Drosophila melanogaster: one gene and its partners. The protein of the gene in region 3 interacts with the protein of the main gene of each other region in a pairwise test. Each region holds a gene or a part of one and is shown on either strand. Other genes may lie near its edges. The genes, in order: Rm62, sip1, Nplp1 and Prm.

Region 1 (4,682 bases), on a different chromosome or scaffold from region 3:
ATCTCATATGCACCTGTATAACACTGCTAGATAAAGCAGTGCCTTTACTGCTTGCTAATGCGGTCACTTGGTGATCACACTTATATATTTCCATACCCCAAAGGAGGATAAAATTATAACATACCTGAGAACACCCGGGATCTTTAGTCATCTTTGCAACATGCTTCGTATAAAAACGAAATTGAATATAATCTGTTTTTATTGTTAACTTCACTAAAATAGTTCGTAATGCAATTAGATATATTTATTTATAAAATTATTAATAAGAAACGTATTACTTACCGGTTTTTCATATTTCACTTTAAGAAATTGAGCAAAATCCACTTGACACGTTCTACAATCAAATGCAAATTCAGTGTTCGAAACTTTGCTAGAAGAAGGCTGTAACATTTATTCTTGTATTTTTGAACACTCCCAAGGAAAAGTGCGGCAGGGAATTTTAGTACTGAAGAAGGACATATGAACTGGATGTTTGGGTGGCTACGTGTTATCTGCTATTTTTGTCTTTATCAATTGATTTGTTAAAAATGTCACACAGCAACTCCACCTTTTGGAGAGGGTTCTCTCCGAATTTTAAAACCGATTGACCATGGCCTTTACAGTACAATTACGATATACGATAGTTCGTGGTAAGATATTTAAATAAAGTACAGTGAGGTAGTTGGTAAATTTGTAAGAGCTTACAGATACTCATTTTCATTAAAGTGCCGTAAATTTCAATTTTTGGCATTTTGAAAAATAAGTGCATTCTTTACTGGTGTTAATATATGTGGCTACTTAATCCTCCATAGATGCCATTTTATTTTCCAGCATAATATCTATATTTAGCTATTTCCAATCATAACTATGATTCTTTCAATTTAATTCGCTAAAACTCGAGTGAAATTTTCGATTTCTTTCAGACTCATTTTTTAGATGTAAGCAATAAAATTATGTGTAAATTATAAGATTTCTTTAATAAGTATTACTTTTTATAGACTTGAAATGGTCAACAAGCAAGTTCTATGAAATTTTGAAATTAATGATGAAAATTCTGTGTGTTGTACAATATTATATTTTCTTATAAATAATAGGATATATTTTTCCTTTCAGAATATTGAGCCAACCTTATTTTAATTCTTTAAAATATTAGTAAAAATGATGCGAGATTTGCGCTTTTGGTAGATTTCAAAAAATTTGTATTAATTGAAAATGTTAAATAAACCACAAATGGGGTGAGTCTTTGCTAAATGCTCAACACAGAAAGTTGTTTTATGCTTATATTTGTTAAGGTATATTTACTAATCTCCGCACAGACTACGTTTTGGTAGGCTAGGAAATTTAAGACATTTCCGAATATTAGGAGTACGGACCGACGACGAGATACATTTAAAGTTCGTTTCAGCAGAATCTTAAATATTAAAAACTTAGCGGGCAAGTAAATACACCGCGTTCAGCTGATTATCGATAGCTAGGAAATTTAAGACATTTCCGAATATTAGGAGTACGGACCGACGACGAGATATATTTAAAGTTCGTTTCAGCAGAATCTTAAATATTAAAAACTTAGCGGGCAAGTAAATACACCGCGTTCAGCTGATTATCGATAGCAACCAGGTGGTCACTCTAATAGACGTTTTCATGCGAGCCCGCTGCGGTCACACCAACTTCTCGACCGATTTTTCCCCTCCATCTAGGGTCACTCTAATTTTGGACGAGGTTAGGTAAGACACGCGCGGATGCCGCGCTGCGTAGGATAAATCCGTCATTAGCATAACCGCATTGAAGCTAAGTCTTCGGGAAAATGCTTAAGCTTGTGCAATACATAGCCCCCCGGGTGGGCGGCGCCACGCCCCGACCGACTGCCTGCGGCTGGGGCAACTTGCTATTGATTTCCCCGAGAAGTGGCGCGAGCTCCGAGAAATGTATAACGCAACGTCGCCATTTTCTTTTCTCCTCCGCCAGCAGCAGCGGCACTTTCGCTTCTTCTTCTTCGCTCTGCACCGAACAACGACAACAGTTCCACGGGAGTCGCAGGAATCGTGAGACAATACTGTTCCCAAGCACATATAGTAGTCTCCAAGCTCAGTCGCAGCGTGCGTTTCGAGACAGCTCGAAACCAGATTCAGACGACTACGTAGATTCCATCCCGAAAGCAGAGCAGCGGACGAGGACGAGGAAATCGCTTTTCAACGATCCCGACGAAAGAACTGAGGAAATCAAAATTGAAGGAGTAATGTGAGTACGCCGCAAGATTTCATATGAAATGCGTTGGTTTTTTCCACTCACTGTCGCCATTTTATCACCCTTCGTGCCATTCCTCTTTTTTTTTTTTTTTTTCTGTACACCTACGAAGCGAGGTGATGAGTAATTAGTGTGAGCGAAAGAGAGAGTTTGGGGAGAGAGAGAAAAACACATGGTTTGCTAAATTTTGTCAGTCGGAGGTGAGGTTTTCAGCCATTTGTTGTTTTTTTCTTTGTGTTTGCCCCCGCACATCCGCAAAGGAGTAGCAAAAGCAACAAGAACGACAGCGCACGTCATAAAAAGAATTTGCCTGATTTGTGAAACGTGTTCTTGCTTCGTTTGCTATTTTATAGCGTTTTAATTTGTCTGTATGCCCCGAACATGAACACGCGCACTCACACAGCGGCACATACGGACTTGCTTGTATGCGTGAATGCCTGTTGACGGCGGCATTTTCTCGTGCTCGTAGAACAGTTCGAACAGTGTGTGCGAGCGTATAACAGTCGGCGGCTGTCACTGACTAGCGCCGTCCTGCTCACTCGCCAGCATGCCTTTCCATCACATTCTTTCCATGGCTCACACGAGGTTTTGTAGAGATATCGCGATGTTTTTGGTATTGGCAATTTTATAATTTGATGTAACCATCCCGACATAGATTTATACTTACTATGCTTAATTTGGGAAGTGAATGGGGTTAATGGTTTGCTTCGTTTGGTTATCTAATGCGTACATTGAAATATATAATTTCAGTATAATTCTGTATACTGAGGACAATTTTAGGGAAAAGTAGGGTTATTCTCTTAAAATTTTCTCTACACTATAAGTAAAGGTTCCATGCAAACACATTTAACTTACAGATTATCAAAAATGCATTTTATCGATCATTTTATCTATTTTGCTACGCTCTTTTTGTGTTTACTTATCATGAACCATGCTTGTTATGCAATAAAAATTATTTATTAGAAAGTTATACTATAGTATTGATAAAAACTCAAGTAACAACCAAATATTAAATGGTAATAGTAACCCAGTTCGTGAACTACGCCATCACATAAACGGCCCCATTAGTCTAAAATGTCAAATGACGCCAATTGATTATGAGCTCCCCCTTTGGCGAGCGCGCGATTCGTCTTTTCGCATGTCAAAAAGCGACAGGTAGACACACAGAAAGTCAAAGGTGCCCCCAGGGACTGTCCCCTCCTCCCCTCGGGTGTTTGCCCACCGTTGAAACTAGGGGCAAGACATTTGGCTGTCTCATAAATGTTCAGAGCGTTCCGCTTCGCTAGTTGGGCACAAACGTTAGCGTGCCAGTGGGTCCTACAAATAGACGTTTAGGGCGGTACGGTGTTCCAAATTGACAGAGTAATAGACAAAAAAAAACGTGGGCCTGGATCGTGGGTGATTTGCATGGTGCACCCCATAGTGATGCCCACTAGGATCACGAAAATGGAGCTTACATACGAAGTAAAGCGAATATAAAGTGGAAATTTATAGAAGTTAGTTCGTAACACAATAAACATAATTTATGTTGTAAATTTTGTTTTATACAACTTTACCATCCAACTTAATCTTGCACTATATTTATTACCACATTGTATATACACTCCGCAGAGTTAATATTATTTTTCCCTAATTATTGCAAAGTGCTAACATATATAGGTCGGTACCTTCGCCAGTTCTGACTGGAACTAGAACTGCGCCAGGTTGATTAATGCCAGAGCAATAAACGCAGGGCTTTGTACATGGGGCTGTTTAGTTTAGTTGAGCATTTAGGGGCTGATAAACTGGGGTGAAAAATTGGTGGGAGGGTGGGCTGTGAATAGAAACCCTGCTCGAATTGCATGTTGTTGTCAATCAAATTTGCCTTACTGTTTGCATTATTCGAAATTTATTTAATTTCCCTAACACGCAATTAGTTTTTATTTAAGTTTATTGCGGTTGTAGCACAGCACAACTCCCATGTCAGCTGTTTAGCAGCGTCGAAAGAAATCGAAAAGCGAAGACTTACCTTCCAAGCCAAGTCGCAGTTGAAATCCAAGTCCCAACTGGCAGACGTCTAGAAACGGCAGCATGCGAGCAAAGTAAGCCAAGTCACTCGTTTCTTTTTTTCCTCAATTTTCTGTCAAAGAAATACTTAAGAAAAGAAAGTGCAGCTGTCTACGCCGAGCCGGAAAAAATGATTCCAGTTAAGCATGGTTTAATTCTCGAAGGTCCCTTTTATCAAGGGAAAATTTATGACACACAGTTTCTGGGTAATGTGTGTGCAGCGCAAAATTATTTTAGATGGCAGATAAGGAGGAATTGATTATACAAATGTACAACGCGAAATTAAAAAGTTTGTGAGAAAACTATCAAACTATATCAACTTCAGCGAAATTCGGTTACAAAGCTCAAAGTGGGATATTTTCTTAAAGATTCCACTGAATTCACGGCAGCGAAATAACAAGTCGTGAAGTCGT
Region 2 (5,076 bases), on a different chromosome or scaffold from region 3:
CGCCAACTGGAAAATAAGTAAATTAAGTTAGCAAAGAAATCTTTATAGATTGCTATTAAGTGTTTATTAGATAAAAGAGCACTCACCGTGATACCACCATTTCCAGATTATCGAAGAACGTAAAGTCCCCGTTGGTGGTATACGTCACGGACTCGGCACAGCCGACTTCCCGACTCTTTCGTCCCATGACAAGATTCTGAAGCAGCCAGAACTCTCCGTGCTGAAGCCTCTCGAAACGGAGCGATCGGTCGCGGCACTTGAGCAATGATCGCAATTCCTTGGTGCGAGCGGAGTCCTCTCGCCGGATTATTTTCGGATGCTGATCATTGGCGAGATGGAAGTTTGCAGAAAAACGTGAGGGATTCGACTCGTTGGACAGCAAAAGTCCTACCGACTTTTGCCCACCAGTATTAGAAGATGCGGCCAGTTTCTGGGCCTGCTGCAGGTTCCTCCAAACCAGCAGGAGTGCCACATTGAACAGTATGAGCACTGGCCACAGACGGACATATTTCCTATTGCAAAAACTTATGGTCGCCATGCTGATTTCGAGAACATTGATTCACAGGAACTCCTTAACTAACAGAACACAAAGAACTTATTGACCTGTGAACGGAAACAGAAATATTGATATAATTCCGTTGAAAATGGATATGGAAATCGAAAGAAGAGTTTATGGCAGCGACTGAGCTTTTTGTCTGTAGTTATGTCTAATTTACTGGGCCTATTGTATGAACTGAAATTAGTGCTGTACTCATCCGATAAGATTCCATGTAATGTGGTAGCATGCAAGGGGGTTCATCGATGTTTTATAATGTTCTGATAATGGGGCTGCCCAACAATGAAGATGACTACCTCCTTTTACCCAGTAAAACTAAACATGATTTACGTACTCTGATAAAAACGGTGACATTTATGGTACCATACACAGAGAACAACTTTTCACTTTACCGGCTGACACTTTCATTTCCATCGACAAGAGTTTGCACATTAAAGATTAACCCATTTTATGACGTACGAAACGACGCAAATTGTTTGAGGGATTTTTTTCTGTTAAGATTAAAAGTTATTTCACGAACGAGACAGACAACATTCGGCGATGAATAATGGAAACAGACTAAAATTACTGAAGTTCCCGCGAAGCTATCATAGTTCAAGTGATTTTCTTATCCGTCTAGTTATCAATATTGTCGTATTTTCCTATCCTTATCATAACAATTCAGTAGACGTAACCAATTGATAGCGCTAATCGAGTGTTAGCCAAATACATATATGGTCAACAGACGATTAGGCGGCATAAACATGTATTTCTTACTTTATCGATTTTAATATCTTATCACTATAATCAAATACCTTTAAAAAAATTTTCTAAAAATAGTTTTCTTTTGAAATCGGATTCTCAAGTATTTCATACTGCGTACTTATGCTAATTAAAAGGGAGCTCATTCTGTTAGGAATGAACTTACTAAACTAATAATAGTTCGGTAATTGAGTCAATTAGTTGTGGTTTTCAATTGTCAAAAAATTTAAATTTATTTTGGCGCCGATAAGCGATACTAATAGTGTACTAAAGTTAGTATTTAGTACTTTTGTATCGATTTTCTTATCGATAAAATTGCTAATTTAGGGCCATCCCTATTGTCAATGGTGCGTTTGTTTACATTCACAAAAGTTTCAGTTTCTGCTGTAAGTAATATATACACGTCTAGCCAGGATGTCGGACAACGATTACGAGCGTTTCGAGATAACGGACTACGATCTGGACAATGAGTTCAACATCAATCGGCCCCGAGGCCGCCAGAGCAGGCACCAACAGATCTACGGTATGTATTGAAATACATGCCGGAATTTGTTTGTAAACGAACTTTCTGTAGGTATTTGGGCGGATGACAGCGAGGAGGAGAGTGGTGGCGAGGGCGGAACTAAGAGAAGGGGGCGCGCCGCCCGTAAACCCAAAGACTACACCATGCCCGTCAATTTTGTGGCCGGCGGCATTCAGCAGGCGGGCAAAAAGAAGAAGAAGGCGCTCCAAGCCGATGATGAGAAAGGATCGCAAAAAGAGGGAGCAGAGGCTGACCAGGGCGAGGAGAGCGACGATTCCGCCGCCAGCGGACGGCCAGCCTTCGGCCAGAACGATCCGGGCAGCTCCAACAGCTCATCAGAAGAGGAGAGGCCAACGCTGAGCCGGAAACAGCCAAGCACCACATTTCAGCATCGCTCCCACATCGCCAGCGAGCGCAACGTGGGCGCCTGGGAGCAGCATACACGCGGCATTGGAGCTAAGCTACTCCTTCAAATGGGCTATGAGCCTGGCAAGGGTTTGGGCAAAGATCTGCAGGGCATTTCGCATCCTGTGCAAGCCCATGTCCGCAAGGGCAGAGGTGCTATCGGCGCCTATGGACCCGAAACTGCGGCAAGCATCGGAGGAAAGACGAACAAGAGCATCAAAGTGGATGAGGACGTGCGCGAGGCGAAAGAGTTCAAAGACCAGCTGAACAAGTGGCGAAAGGGCTCAGCCGGTGGCGCCGAACCAATGGAGCGGCAGGGTAAGCGCTACTACTACAAGTCCGTGGAGGAGGTGATTGCCAAGGGTCACACGTCCGGCCACCTACTGTCGGAGAAGCTAAGCAAGAAACTGGGCAATGTGCGGGTGATCGATATGACAGGCCCAGAGAAACGAGTGCTGAGTGGCTATCATGCCTTGGGACAGGCAAAAATTACGCCAGAGGAGACGCTCTACGACACGGAGGCGACGGAAAAGGGATCCGCTCCCGCCTGCGTTTTTGCCATGCCCGAGCTGACGCACAACCTCCAGCTCTTGGTTAGCCAGTGCGAGCAGCAGATCATCGCCATCGACAACCAGGAACGCGAGTGTTCCAGCCAGCAGGCAGCGCTGGAAAGCGAGCACCGGAAACTGGAGGAGATAGTCCAGCTAGAACGAAACCACATACGCACGCTGGAGGAATCGTTGGAGCGCGTGGAGCGGTTAATCGATAATCCAGACTTGAGTTTACCTCAGGCTGAACGACTCTTTCGGGAGCTGCTCGTGGACTACGCTGCCGAATTCCATGAGTTCGGACTTGCAGATCTGGCAGCCGGTGTAATAGCGCCGCTCCTGAAGCGAGAACTAGTTCAGTGGCAGCCACTGGAAAACCCAACGGAACCGCTGCCACTCATCAAGAAATGGCGCGGCATGCTCCAGCAAGGAGATGCAGCAGAGCAGCAGCCCCGCAACGTCTTCGATCCGTACTCCTCGCTCATCTGGGCCGGCGTGATGCCTTCGTTTCGGTCCAGCGCTGCCGCATGGCAGCCGAAGGAGCATCCGCCAATGGCTTCACTCCTAGATGCCTGGGCACCCCTGCTACCTAGCTGGGTCTTGGATTCGGTTCTCGAGCAACTGGTTCTGCCACGACTGGTGGCTGGTGTCCAGGAGTGGGATCCGCTCACCGACACCGTTCCGATCGACAGTTGGGTGCTGCCGTGGCATGCCATCTTGGGCAGCAAGCTGGAGGAGGCCGTCTATCCTCAGATCCGCAGCAAATTGGGTATAGCATTGCGCGCCTGGTCACCGCATGACCGATCAGCCAGAGCCATGCTTACGCCCTGGCAGAAGGCCTTCCCCGAGGAAGAGATGCAAGAGTTCCTGCAGCGGTACATAGTGCCCAAACTGCAGGCGACTCTAGGCGAGCTCATCATCAATCCAATGCACCAGGACCTGGAGCTGTGGCAGCAGGTATGGGAGTGGCACGAGCTCATCGATCCCATGTACATGGCCCAACTACTGGACAGACACTTCTTCCCGCGCTGGATGCAAGTGCTCGTCGTCTGGCTGAATCAGTCGCCGGACTACGCGGAGATCTCGCGATGGTACACCGGCTGGAAGAGCATGTTGAGCGAACCGCTTCTGCGCGAGCCCAGCGTTAAAGAGCATCTGCGGCGAGCACTGGAAATTATGCACAGAGCCAGCGATACCCTGCTGCAGCCCACGGTGACGCCCACGCCCCCGCCTCCAGTTCCTCCGGCTCCAGTCATAATGATGGACCTGATTCATCCGCCCGCTCAGCTGGAGTTCAAAGAGTTGGTATCGCAGCAATGCGCCGACTTGGGAATCATCTTCGCTCCTCTGCCAGGGCGACGGGAGATGGGCAAACAGGTGACTGTTAATCCATTTTCGACCACAGAGCGTTATATACTAATAGATTTATTGCATTTACAGATTTATCGTGTGGGAAAGCTGTTTTGCTACATCGATCGTCACGTCTGCATGGTCAGCGATGGCAGCTTCAGCAACTGGAAGCCGGTGTCGCTAAATCATCTGCTAGAACGCTCTCAAACGGGAATTCTTTAAATAAATAGCTGCGAAAATGTTTAATTGGCTTGGAAAATGTTTAATTGGATTGGATCAGAAGCTTAGCTCTTGCTGTTCCCTAATAAGTTTGTAATATAAGGTGATTGTATGATGAGATGGCTCTGCAGATATAAGCAAATGTCTAAATATATATGTAAAAGTAATCAGATATATTATTCTGTATAAAATTGAAACGGATTTGAATATTTTTGAAATTGATATGATTACATCCAAGTTTTTCACCACGGTTTGGGTCCGAGCTGCATGCTCCATGAATTTAAGATGTAAATATACTGGCAGTATTTTTCGGTATATATTTATTTTGTGGGAGCATGGGTTTGTAACGTGCGCGTTGAAGTAGAAGTACACTAGAAGTATCTTTAGTGTCTTTGGTTGAACCGATTAATAAATCTTTAAAGTCGAAATTTGATTGTTAATAATGTGGTTTATGACATGGATTGGCTGTGGTGCTAGAGAAGGCGGCATTATTAAATAAATTTAAACTCCTTCGCTGTGAGGCGGATTTCTGGAAATCGGTGGATAATTTTTAAAGCATTTTTCAGGATCATTATATAATTAGGCTTAGCCTATTAGCCTATAGGGACACGGTAGTTTAGATCAGCGGGACACAATTCGCAAAAAAAAAGTCCCCGAGTTCCAATTTCCACCGTTCCGCTATCGTCGCTAATTTGACGCACATTTATTATACATTATTATTATTATTATTATTA
Region 3 (4,648 bases):
AAGCTTTTGTCACCAGCATTTCCTAAACAAACAAGTAAAAACACTATTGTGGGGACGGTTGCGCTGCGTGCGCTGTTATAGCCGAGGAATCCATTTATGGCAGCCTGTGTTGCGTTAAAATTTAGGGGGTTGTTTCCTTATTTTGCATACTTTAACAGAAAGAGATGTAAAATATTTGTGGCTTACAAGCTATTAAATATGAACCCAGCCCAGTTTAATCCTCCCTGTCAGTCCTCCTCTTAAGCAGGCGATTAAGCGGATAATAGCAATTCGCTTATCATTGTGCGTGTGAATTAAGTTCGTAGCTTATTTCTGATTCTTACAATTCATATAATATTTCATTTGTATAAAGCCGTATTTGGACGGGAGAAATGAAAAAGTATCAAGATCCTAATTGAAACAATCGTAAAGTCAATCAAGTGGAAAGGTGACAGGACACATCAAATAAAAGTGGACGATGCCAATCGATTGACTCAAATTGCTATCCTAGCCTAATTGGGCGTGAGATTATGCACAACTGCAATGGCCAAGAGCCATCCACAATCTGGGCAATGTTTTCTTTTCCTCCAGCTCGATAACATTCTCTGATTTAATTTTTTTCCGTGATGCCCGTTGAGGCGCTTATGTGGCCTAAGCCCAGCCGCAAGCAAATTTTATTATGGCAGTCTTGCTCCCTGGTTTCCCCACATTTCAATGGCGTAATTGCTTGCCTTTTTTTACCTAAATAAATACTGTGCGCAATATTAAAACTTAAGTGCTGTGACCTTGCCTGGAATTCAGAGTGTCTGAAACGCTGGAACAAGGAGTCAGGAGCCACGCGCGTATGTAATTTACGAAGGGAAATTTGTAAGTAGGGAAAAGGTACTGCATTCCGCATTTTATACGATAAAAATGTTTCTGTTGAAAATACTCTCTTTTATGATAGGAAGATATTATAAACGATATTTAATGTTGATCCCAAATTGTATTATTATCTTTTTCGTTCTAGTACCTCTGCGTTTTTTTGTATCCACACTACAGAAATTTTATTGGCCCTACATCTGGTTTCCATTCAGTTTTATTTGTGTCCACTGCGTGGAAATGGCTCAATTAACAATAATGGTCATTGCAATGAAACACACATGTAACTTTTTCCAAATCACTTTGTAGGCAAGCTCTGTGGAAGAGCTTTAGTGTACATATCATGGTTACGAGGGCATTTGGCAATTACTGACCACGAAAATAAATATACAAAGGCAGCTAATCAAAAGCCAATCAGAAACTTTTCAGACAAAATTTAATCCTTGCTAACTCCCAAGTGAGCCCATGTCAATATTGTAAATAAATGTCTGAAAAAAGTGAAAGGTACTAAAAATTTGAATATTTATTCGCCTTTTTCCGTGCGTATACGATATCCATGGAAAAGATTAATTTTTATTTTTATTGATTTTCTTGTTTGTTAAATTGGGTTGCGCATATGACAATGACGAGTCATATCATAAATCGCACATATCTAGTCTGATGCCAGATTAAGGCACACTCACGCGTTTCTGTCATTTCATATTGTCGTCATACATTTAACGTCAACTGTTTGCATCGATATGCATTAAAGTGCTGATTCATTGTCTGTAATGCAGCGATGCAACTTCGAAATCATAAGCAAGTTTACATTGAACCATGTTGTACAATAGTTGTCATTGACGTTGCAGTTTCCTCTGACGTTGCTGGATTTACTGACGTAAGGATATTTAAGTATTTGAGGAACTAAACTGTTAACTTTATCTAAAATGAAAAGTTCCGCTCCTGACCGTCAAAGCCTTTCATAGCCCGTGGCTTTTTCCGTGCAAAAACTGTCAACAATAATATTTTATGTAATTTTATTTGTGTTTGGTAAAAGACAACAGAGGAGAGATGCTCGACATGAAAGTTCTTTCTTTGTTATAGCTAGAAAAACAATTTGATTAGGTATGTAGTTAAAGGTGGCTTTCCTGCAGCCAGTTATCATAAAAGGCTCTCTGGGAAATGCCAAGTTCCGCGGAAATGAAAAATGAAGAAATGTCACATACATATGTCAGTGAGGGACAAAAGGAATGCCAGCTATTCCGCAAGAGATGGTTGAATGTACCAAAAGGAAAAGTGAGAATGCCATATGAATAACTGCACTGTAAACGTGTTGTGCTCGTTCTGACCAGAAGGATGAGGTTGCAACCGCAGATGTATCTCTTGCAAAAGTAAAACAACCCGCGGAAAGTTATGCCTGAATGGGCGTGGCTGTACCAATATAAATTACTGCGTGGTGAACGGGGTCCTTGAAAAATGGAAATAATTTGTTCGTTTTGTAGCCACTGGAGCTTAGAAGCTGTAGACAAGTTTGCGTATTCTGACAGCACAAGTTATGAAAAGCGGAGACTTCGTTGAACAATGGTGAGATGTAATCATGCTAAACTTTGGGTTAGAAATGCAAGAAGAAGAAGAAGCATGTCAGCTCTTTAATTAGCTTTTATAAATATGAAAGATTTCTAAGGATAATATCGCGTTTTCAATTTTCGTTCGTCGAGAAAACACGCAGTCCTCAAACGAATTTCGACAAAATTCACGGCCCACCGCACACGTCAACACATAAAAGATAAATTTAGTAGAAGGCAGAAGCACAGTCCACGAAACCCAAAGACCGAAAAATGTTGATAGCGCTACAGTTTTTAAAATTGAAAATATAATCCCCAGGACTTACGGCATTGAGCAGCATGGAGAGCAACAGCATTAGCCGCCTGCTGCTGTGCGCAGATTGGAGCACCGCCTGCATCGTGGATGTCGTCCTGGGGGCGGCTCAACTGTTAAGTGAGTTTCGTTCGTTTGCAACGCGACAAAAGGATCGACCACACTCGCACTGCCTCACAAATTGAACTGCCCTTTTGCAGCACCCACTTCCAAACCGATTTAAACCGTAACGGAAACACGGACGCGAAGCTTTGCCGTTTGCCAGCTGCCGTAACACTAACGTTAGCCGCAAAGTCGTCTGCTCGACTGCTTTCTCTTGGCCAGGACCCTCGACTTTATATACCCGAGCGGCACCCCGGATAAGCTCACTCGCGGGAGCGAAACCGGAGCGCCGTCAACTGTTGCTCTTCTATAGCCTCTCTGTTGCGTGTGCAGTGTCCTGTTTCGTGGGATGCTATTGTAGGTAATGACGTCATGGCGGCTGCAGGACAGAGCTCTGTTGCTTCTTGGTAAGCTCTGTGTATTCAGGCCAACCAGCAGCACAGTGCACAGCTACAAAGCTTTTCGATATTAAATTGGTATTCGCAGGTTACATTATTGATTCATTTTGAAAATATAATAGAATGTTTGCAGGCCAAAAAAAAATTAAAATGAATCCAAGTCCAAAATAAAAAAATTAATAGAAAACCCTTCCTTAGCTACGATTTTTCGGGTTTCGGTATAATTTGAATTACTCGAAACCGTTTTCTTATCATTTTTCTTTCAACTTTGCAAGTTCAATCCACTGTGCGCTGGTTGCTTTGGGACCAATCTAAGAGTTTTTGGTTTCTCTTAATTCGAACTTGAGCTGTACGCCATATGTTGGCGCTCTCAGCGGGGCCACTGTCCGTCGCAGAACTTAACACTTAAATAAAAAACCTTGAATCAAACATATGCTTCAAATATTCTTTATTGGAATATTTAAAATCACACTTGAAGTTAATCAGAGTAATTAAAACACAAATAGGCTTTGTTGAAATATTTTTCTAACTTTTGTGTTTGTATTTACTATGTATGATTACATTTAATCTGATTATCGGATAGCAATGGGCTGGAAATACATTATCAATCACATTTACTTTTCGATTATTCAAAATAAACATTTTTATTATTTTCATTGATTACATTCGGTTTTTAACCTCGAATCTTTTCATCGTATAAACCAAATTAAAAGCATTGGAATTCAATGAAGTACAAAAGAACTCCCGATTAGAATGGCGTTGCAGTGACCTGTCTGTAAGAATTCCGAAAATATAAAATAACCAAAAAGCCGGAAAGTAATGCCAACAGATAGATTGCTGCACCCCTCCCGCAGAAGCTAAGTTTATGCAATTTCCGAATACCATATTATGAAGCGTAAAATGTTAAAACCAGATCCCCGGTTATACCCAAAACCCTGAGTGCGGCAAGAGCAATGCACAAAATGCAGGGGCGGTCACAATCATATGCCTACGTCAGTAAAGCAAATCGCTGTGGGGGTTTCCCCGCGTCACTCCTAAAAGAAGGATATATGGCGGATGGCAGATGAAGCGGCGGATGTAGCAGATTGCACGCCGGTACAGACAGCTGGCAGGGAAACCTGTCAGCGCACTGCAACATAGGAGGTTGGAGCCAGCGGTACTGTCGGCTTTTGCTTCAACCAATCCATGCATATCAAATTTGGTCAGCAGACCAGAGCAACAGAGCAACAGTCGAGGATGAGTTGGTTAACATGCCGGCATCCCTAGTTCTGGGTTCAAGCGGACTGAAACTCCCCACATTTCAGTTGGTAAATCATTGGGTAATAGCACAATGACTTTGTCTACACTGCAAAAGCACAAATAAATAGGTACTCTTACAATCATAGAATACTGAGTTGAACAGGCGTCCTCTAAGCAATAATGATACAGTTCAATTGCCTTGTCATCCACAT
Region 4 (4,655 bases), on a different chromosome or scaffold from region 3:
GCCAGCAAAGAGCCAAGTATCTAAAAGATACGAATGCGAACGGAGCAAGAAACTGCTCTAATATATAAGGATGGTTAGCCCATCTAGAGCTCTAGATGTGTGCGTCAGTTGGCCTCAGGTGAAATGTGTGTGGAAAATGAACACGATTATGAGCAAGCCGAGAAAAAAGGCACAAATAACACGAAATTCGGTTGCTAAAAATAAGCGAAAATTCATTTTTAAGTATAGTTAGGCAAATGTGTGTTTGTGTGTGGAGCACAGGTGGAGGAGATCGCTCGAAGACGAACGAGAATTTTCACTCGAAAAGCTTCGGTTCCTTTGGAAAAGTGAGCCAAAAATCGCCGAACGAAGCGTGTTCGCAATGTAACAGAAATTATTTACACAATATGTATTTACTATGGGGGCACATGGAGAGACCCGTCAGTTGCCAAAAAGATATAATGCAGAGACAGTCATCTACGTGACCATTGAACAACAATTGTTAGATGACATCGCATTGTCTGAGGCTGAGCAGACTGCTGTCCGCACGGCCAAGGATTCACTCAAAATTGTATATTTTTGTTTATTTCGCACAATTTTTTTTCACACACTCTCTACGTCTATTTATTTATGCTGGCGAATAACACGTTTCGATGCCAAAAGTCAAGTATTTTTAGAAAACATTGCTGTAATCCTAATTGGCTGTTAGCGAATAATTTAGAAGGCATATCATAGAAAATTTTGACACTTTTATGATTTTTCTGCTTGTGTAAAAATGTTGTAATACCCCTGAGATCTGTATAGCATATATATTTGGGCTCTATATTTGGCTGGGGTTTCATGCTCTAGCCTCTTTTCTTTTTGATAATAATATATGCTAAATCAATTTGAAATCAATCGATTCAAATATTTACATATATAGTCTCTAACGCTTAAATGTATTCAATATTCTAGATGTTCTAATGTTCTAGAAACCGTTTCCAAAAGTCAAATCATTCTATTTAAGTTTGCTCCCAGAATTATATCTCAATCTTTATAGTCTAGGGACTACGTGCTGGAATACTGGTTTGGCACTACCTTTTAAATAATATCCGAGGCCCCTGAACCAAGAAAATGTGCCAATAAATATAAATTATGAACTTTATGATCTGCAGAGGATGCCAAATATTTCAACATGACTTATATGTATGTACGTTCGAGAATTGGGAAAATTTATGTGTAGATACATTCTGGCCAGACGCTAGATACACAAAATGAAACGCACAAATGACACAGGCTAATTACAGGTAAGCAATAGAAAAGAAAAGACAAGAAAAGCAGGCGTACTTCGTGTTTTTGAGTTTATTTTCGTAGGGGGCAAGCTCTCAGGCAAACTAGCGTGAAAATGCGTTCACACAAGCTTCGGCCCAAGTGAAATGAAAAATCAAAGAATTTTCCACACAACTGAGCAATTAACACAACAACACGGCCGCGTGAAAAGTCACTCGAAAGTCCCACTCACATTCACATAGGTGGTGGTGGTGGCTTATAGATATATCTCAGGGTATATCCCACTCGGATCCGATCGGCGGGGAGCCGATGGCGCCCGACGGCGACCGAAGGCTCCCGAAGGGAACCGAATAAATCGTTGAAATAGACGAATTCAGCTGGCAGGCCAAACCAATTCAACGAAATACTCTTTATTCGAACGACAACGGGATCTCTTGTTCAGTAGATCACCAGCCTTACTCCGACGTTTATTACGAATTTTCTCGGTGACTCGGTGACAACTACAAAACTGCGTGCGGTGCTGTATAGATTTTCGCTTGAGAGGAACACACAAATCATAATACTAGATACGCGAACCGATCGCACATTAATTTATAGAACCAAAATCGAAAATCTGACCTAGCAAACATGTCGTCATCGCAGGCTGTCCGCTCCTCGAAATACTCCTACCGTGCCACGTCCACCGGACCCGGTACCGCCGATGTGAACATCGAGTACATCCAGGACCTGAGCTCGCTCTCCCGCTTGGAGGTAAGGATCCCGTCCCGCTCCGTCTCGGAATCTCGAATTCGAATTCGTAATTGGAAGCGGACCGGTATCGTTTAAGAAATCGGCATCGTATTGGGCACCAAATCCCCAAAAAGACGTTGGAATTCCGACCAGGGAATAGGAATACGAAATGCGTGTGCGCCAAATTTTCTTCAAAATCTACGAGAATTTCTCTCTCTTGTTTCGGTGTCTGTGTAGAGACTGAAAAAGAATCGGAATATAATCAAGAAAAAATACGAAAAACAAACTAAGAAACCCGAAAAATTCATCTACACTCTATATCAAATGCACATATATACCGTAGATATATATTCGTGTGTTAAGTTCTCGGCGCGTTCTTGTGTGTGGAAATATAGAAAATTCGGTGAAGCAAAATTCTAGATTTGTATATGTATCTAAACGTGTCTGTATATACATATGCATTGCTAAAAAATTATGTAATGGCCACCTCTGGGCAATACATATACACGAGAAAACATCGAAGAAAAATTTGTGAAGAAATCAATCAACTGTGCTGTAAAGTGCTTTTTAATGAATGTTTTAATCAAATAATATGAAATAACGAGCCCATAAAAGATCAAACTCAATAAATGTATCCACCATTTTCTTGCAGGACAAGATCCGTTTGCTCCAAGATGATCTTGAAGTTGAACGTGAGTTGCGCCAAAGGGTGAGTCATTCAATATGGAAATATTCATAATTTTAAATATTTTTAAGTTATTTTTGAACCGAGTATTTTTAAGGTATTACTATAGGTTTCTTTGGAATATTTTTGAACATTCTTAATTTATTGAGAGCATCGTTTTTAGTCAATAAGATTATTTGCTGATGAAATCGGCGTCAGAGATATGACATATCCGAGGAAGTTAGAAAAGATCAGACCGCATTCTCCGAGACCCAATGGAAATCAAAGCGCCAGGGAAAACCATTTTTACTTTTTTCACCTCGCAAATGTCACCCTAAAAACAGCAAAAATATGTGGAAAGCCAAAATAAAATCAAAATAGACCAAAGTAGCAGTAGCGATAGAACCGATAGAAAAGTCAGCAAACAAATGCAAATCTAAGAATAAACTACCCTTCGTAGAGTTTCGAAAGTGTGAAAGTAAATGATAATGATGTGCATTGAACTTCAATCGCTTTCGTTTTTGGCTTTTCCTTCCCTGCGGAGCATTGATAAATGATTTTTCCCCTGACTTTGCAAAGACAGCGGCCGCAAAGACAGCAAAGTCAGGAACAGCCAGAGAAAAGTGGGAAAATTCGCAGGCCGAAAGTGCACTTCATTCAGCGCAATCCTCTTGGGCGTTACAAATTTAGAAAATGCGAAGAGCTCTTGCCGGAATGGAATGGGCTGGCCAGGAATGTTCTGAAAATTTTGTTAAAAAATCAAATTTAATTACTTTGTGCCTTATGGATTAGCACGCACTCGCACACAGATACAACGCCCCCCAACACACACTCACAATATATGGAACAAAATGGCTAAAATTAGCGCACGACATTCAATACAGAGAAGCGAATGATTAACTTGAAAACAACCAAAATATGAGCAGAGAAGAAAAGAAAATAAAGTAGCCAAAAAGTCATCATCATCACCATCTTCATGATCAGCGGCGGCAGAGAGGAAAATTCGCTCGCTCACTACGGGAAAATCTTCGCTTTTTGTCTGTGGGCGTGTGTCTGTGGGAAAATTAAATAATTTTCATGCACATTAAAAGTCTTCACACCGCCTGGCATTCTTTCTACATATCCACATATGCATATATAGGCGGCAAAAACATGTATCTACAAGATACATATGGCGCAAATGGATTTACGGCCCGTACTTACGTGGCCTTTGTGGCAATCGGCAACTTTTTGTTATGCCAAATGAACGGACAAACACATGTTCGCCTAGGTATTATCATAAACATAAATGTACAAACATATTCAGCGAGAGATTTAAAAGAGATTTATCAGACCAATACGTTCTTTATTTAAGCTTGGGGCATTTCAGTTAGCTGAATTTTTTATGATTGCTTCGGACAGCTCCAAATACCAGAAATCCCAATGGCCGCACATAGCTTTCATAAAATAGCATTTAATTGCAATTCGCAAAATTGACCAAACGAGGTCGTCGACAAAGGCGAAAAGCAAATGTTTAGATTCCGAGGGAGCCAACAAAAAATGTTTCTGTTCAAGCGAAAAATGTTCGAATGCCTTTTTGGAAATGCAATCTAGGAAAGCGGTGTGCGGCCGCCCACAAAAGATATATACGCATATATAGACGCATATATCGTGGATGCAATCGGACTATGGCTACACCTCTGCGTGGAAGATTTCTTGGCAAGATGCCATTGTTATTTTAGGTGTTGCATGTGCATAATTATTTTTGACTGATTAATGTGATTTATAATTTTTATTATGGGCTGTTTGAGTAGCCACAGAGCATGGCTAGCGCAGGGTATTTATAGATCCTTCACATTATACCAAGTCGCTAATGAAATCTCTTCTTAATCTCTGCTTATATTCTTCAAATTTCAGATCGAGCGCGAGAAAGCCGATCTCAGCGTTCAGGTCATTCAGATGTCCGAGCGTCTCGAGGAGGCCGAGGGTGGTGCTGAACATCAAGTGAGTACCATGTGGTAAACCAATATTGCAA

Evidence for each region.
Region 1: the proteins of Nplp1 (region 3) and Rm62 interact in a two-hybrid assay, tested with the Drosophila melanogaster proteins (one large-scale study listed by BioGRID).
Region 2: the proteins of Nplp1 (region 3) and sip1 interact in a two-hybrid assay, tested with the Drosophila melanogaster proteins (one large-scale study listed by BioGRID).
Region 4: the proteins of Nplp1 (region 3) and Prm interact in a two-hybrid assay, tested with the Drosophila melanogaster proteins (one large-scale study listed by BioGRID).

Annotation. Positions count from the first base shown.
Region 1 is NT_033777.3:6,005,572-6,010,253, reverse strand, and holds the start of Rm62 (Rm62), read left to right. Parts: upstream 1-1,680; 5' UTR 1,681-1,783; coding exon 1,784-2,217; intron 2,218-2,525; exon of another isoform or gene 2,526-2,808; intron 2,809-4,139; exon of another isoform or gene 4,140-4,293; coding exon of another isoform or gene 4,294-4,304; intron 4,305-4,682. UniProt on the Drosophila melanogaster protein: As an RNA helicase, unwinds RNA and alters RNA structures through ATP binding and hydrolysis. Involved in multiple cellular processes, including pre-mRNA splicing, alternative splicing, rRNA processing and miRNA processing, as well as transcription regulation.
Region 2 is NT_033779.5:5,719,425-5,724,500, forward strand, and holds sip1 (septin interacting protein 1), read left to right. Parts: upstream 1-1,626; 5' UTR 1,627-1,711; coding exon 1,712-1,820; intron 1,821-1,871; coding exon 1,872-4,150; intron 4,151-4,213; coding exon 4,214-4,345; 3' UTR 4,346-4,520; downstream 4,521-5,076. Other genes in the region: CG11149 (uncharacterized protein), read right to left, coding at 1-6, 87-538. UniProt on the Drosophila melanogaster protein: May be involved in pre-mRNA splicing.
Region 3 is NT_033778.4:25,030,742-25,035,389, reverse strand, and holds the start of Nplp1 (Neuropeptide-like precursor 1), read right to left. Parts: upstream 3,014-4,648; 5' UTR 2,783-3,013; coding exon 2,711-2,782; intron 1-2,710.
Region 4 is NT_037436.4:8,742,306-8,746,960, reverse strand, and holds the start of Prm (paramyosin), read left to right. Parts: upstream 1-1,650; 5' UTR 1,651-1,875; coding exon 1,876-1,998; intron 1,999-2,629; coding exon 2,630-2,686; intron 2,687-4,537; coding exon 4,538-4,624; intron 4,625-4,655. UniProt on the Drosophila melanogaster protein: Paramyosin is a major structural component of many thick filaments isolated from invertebrate muscles.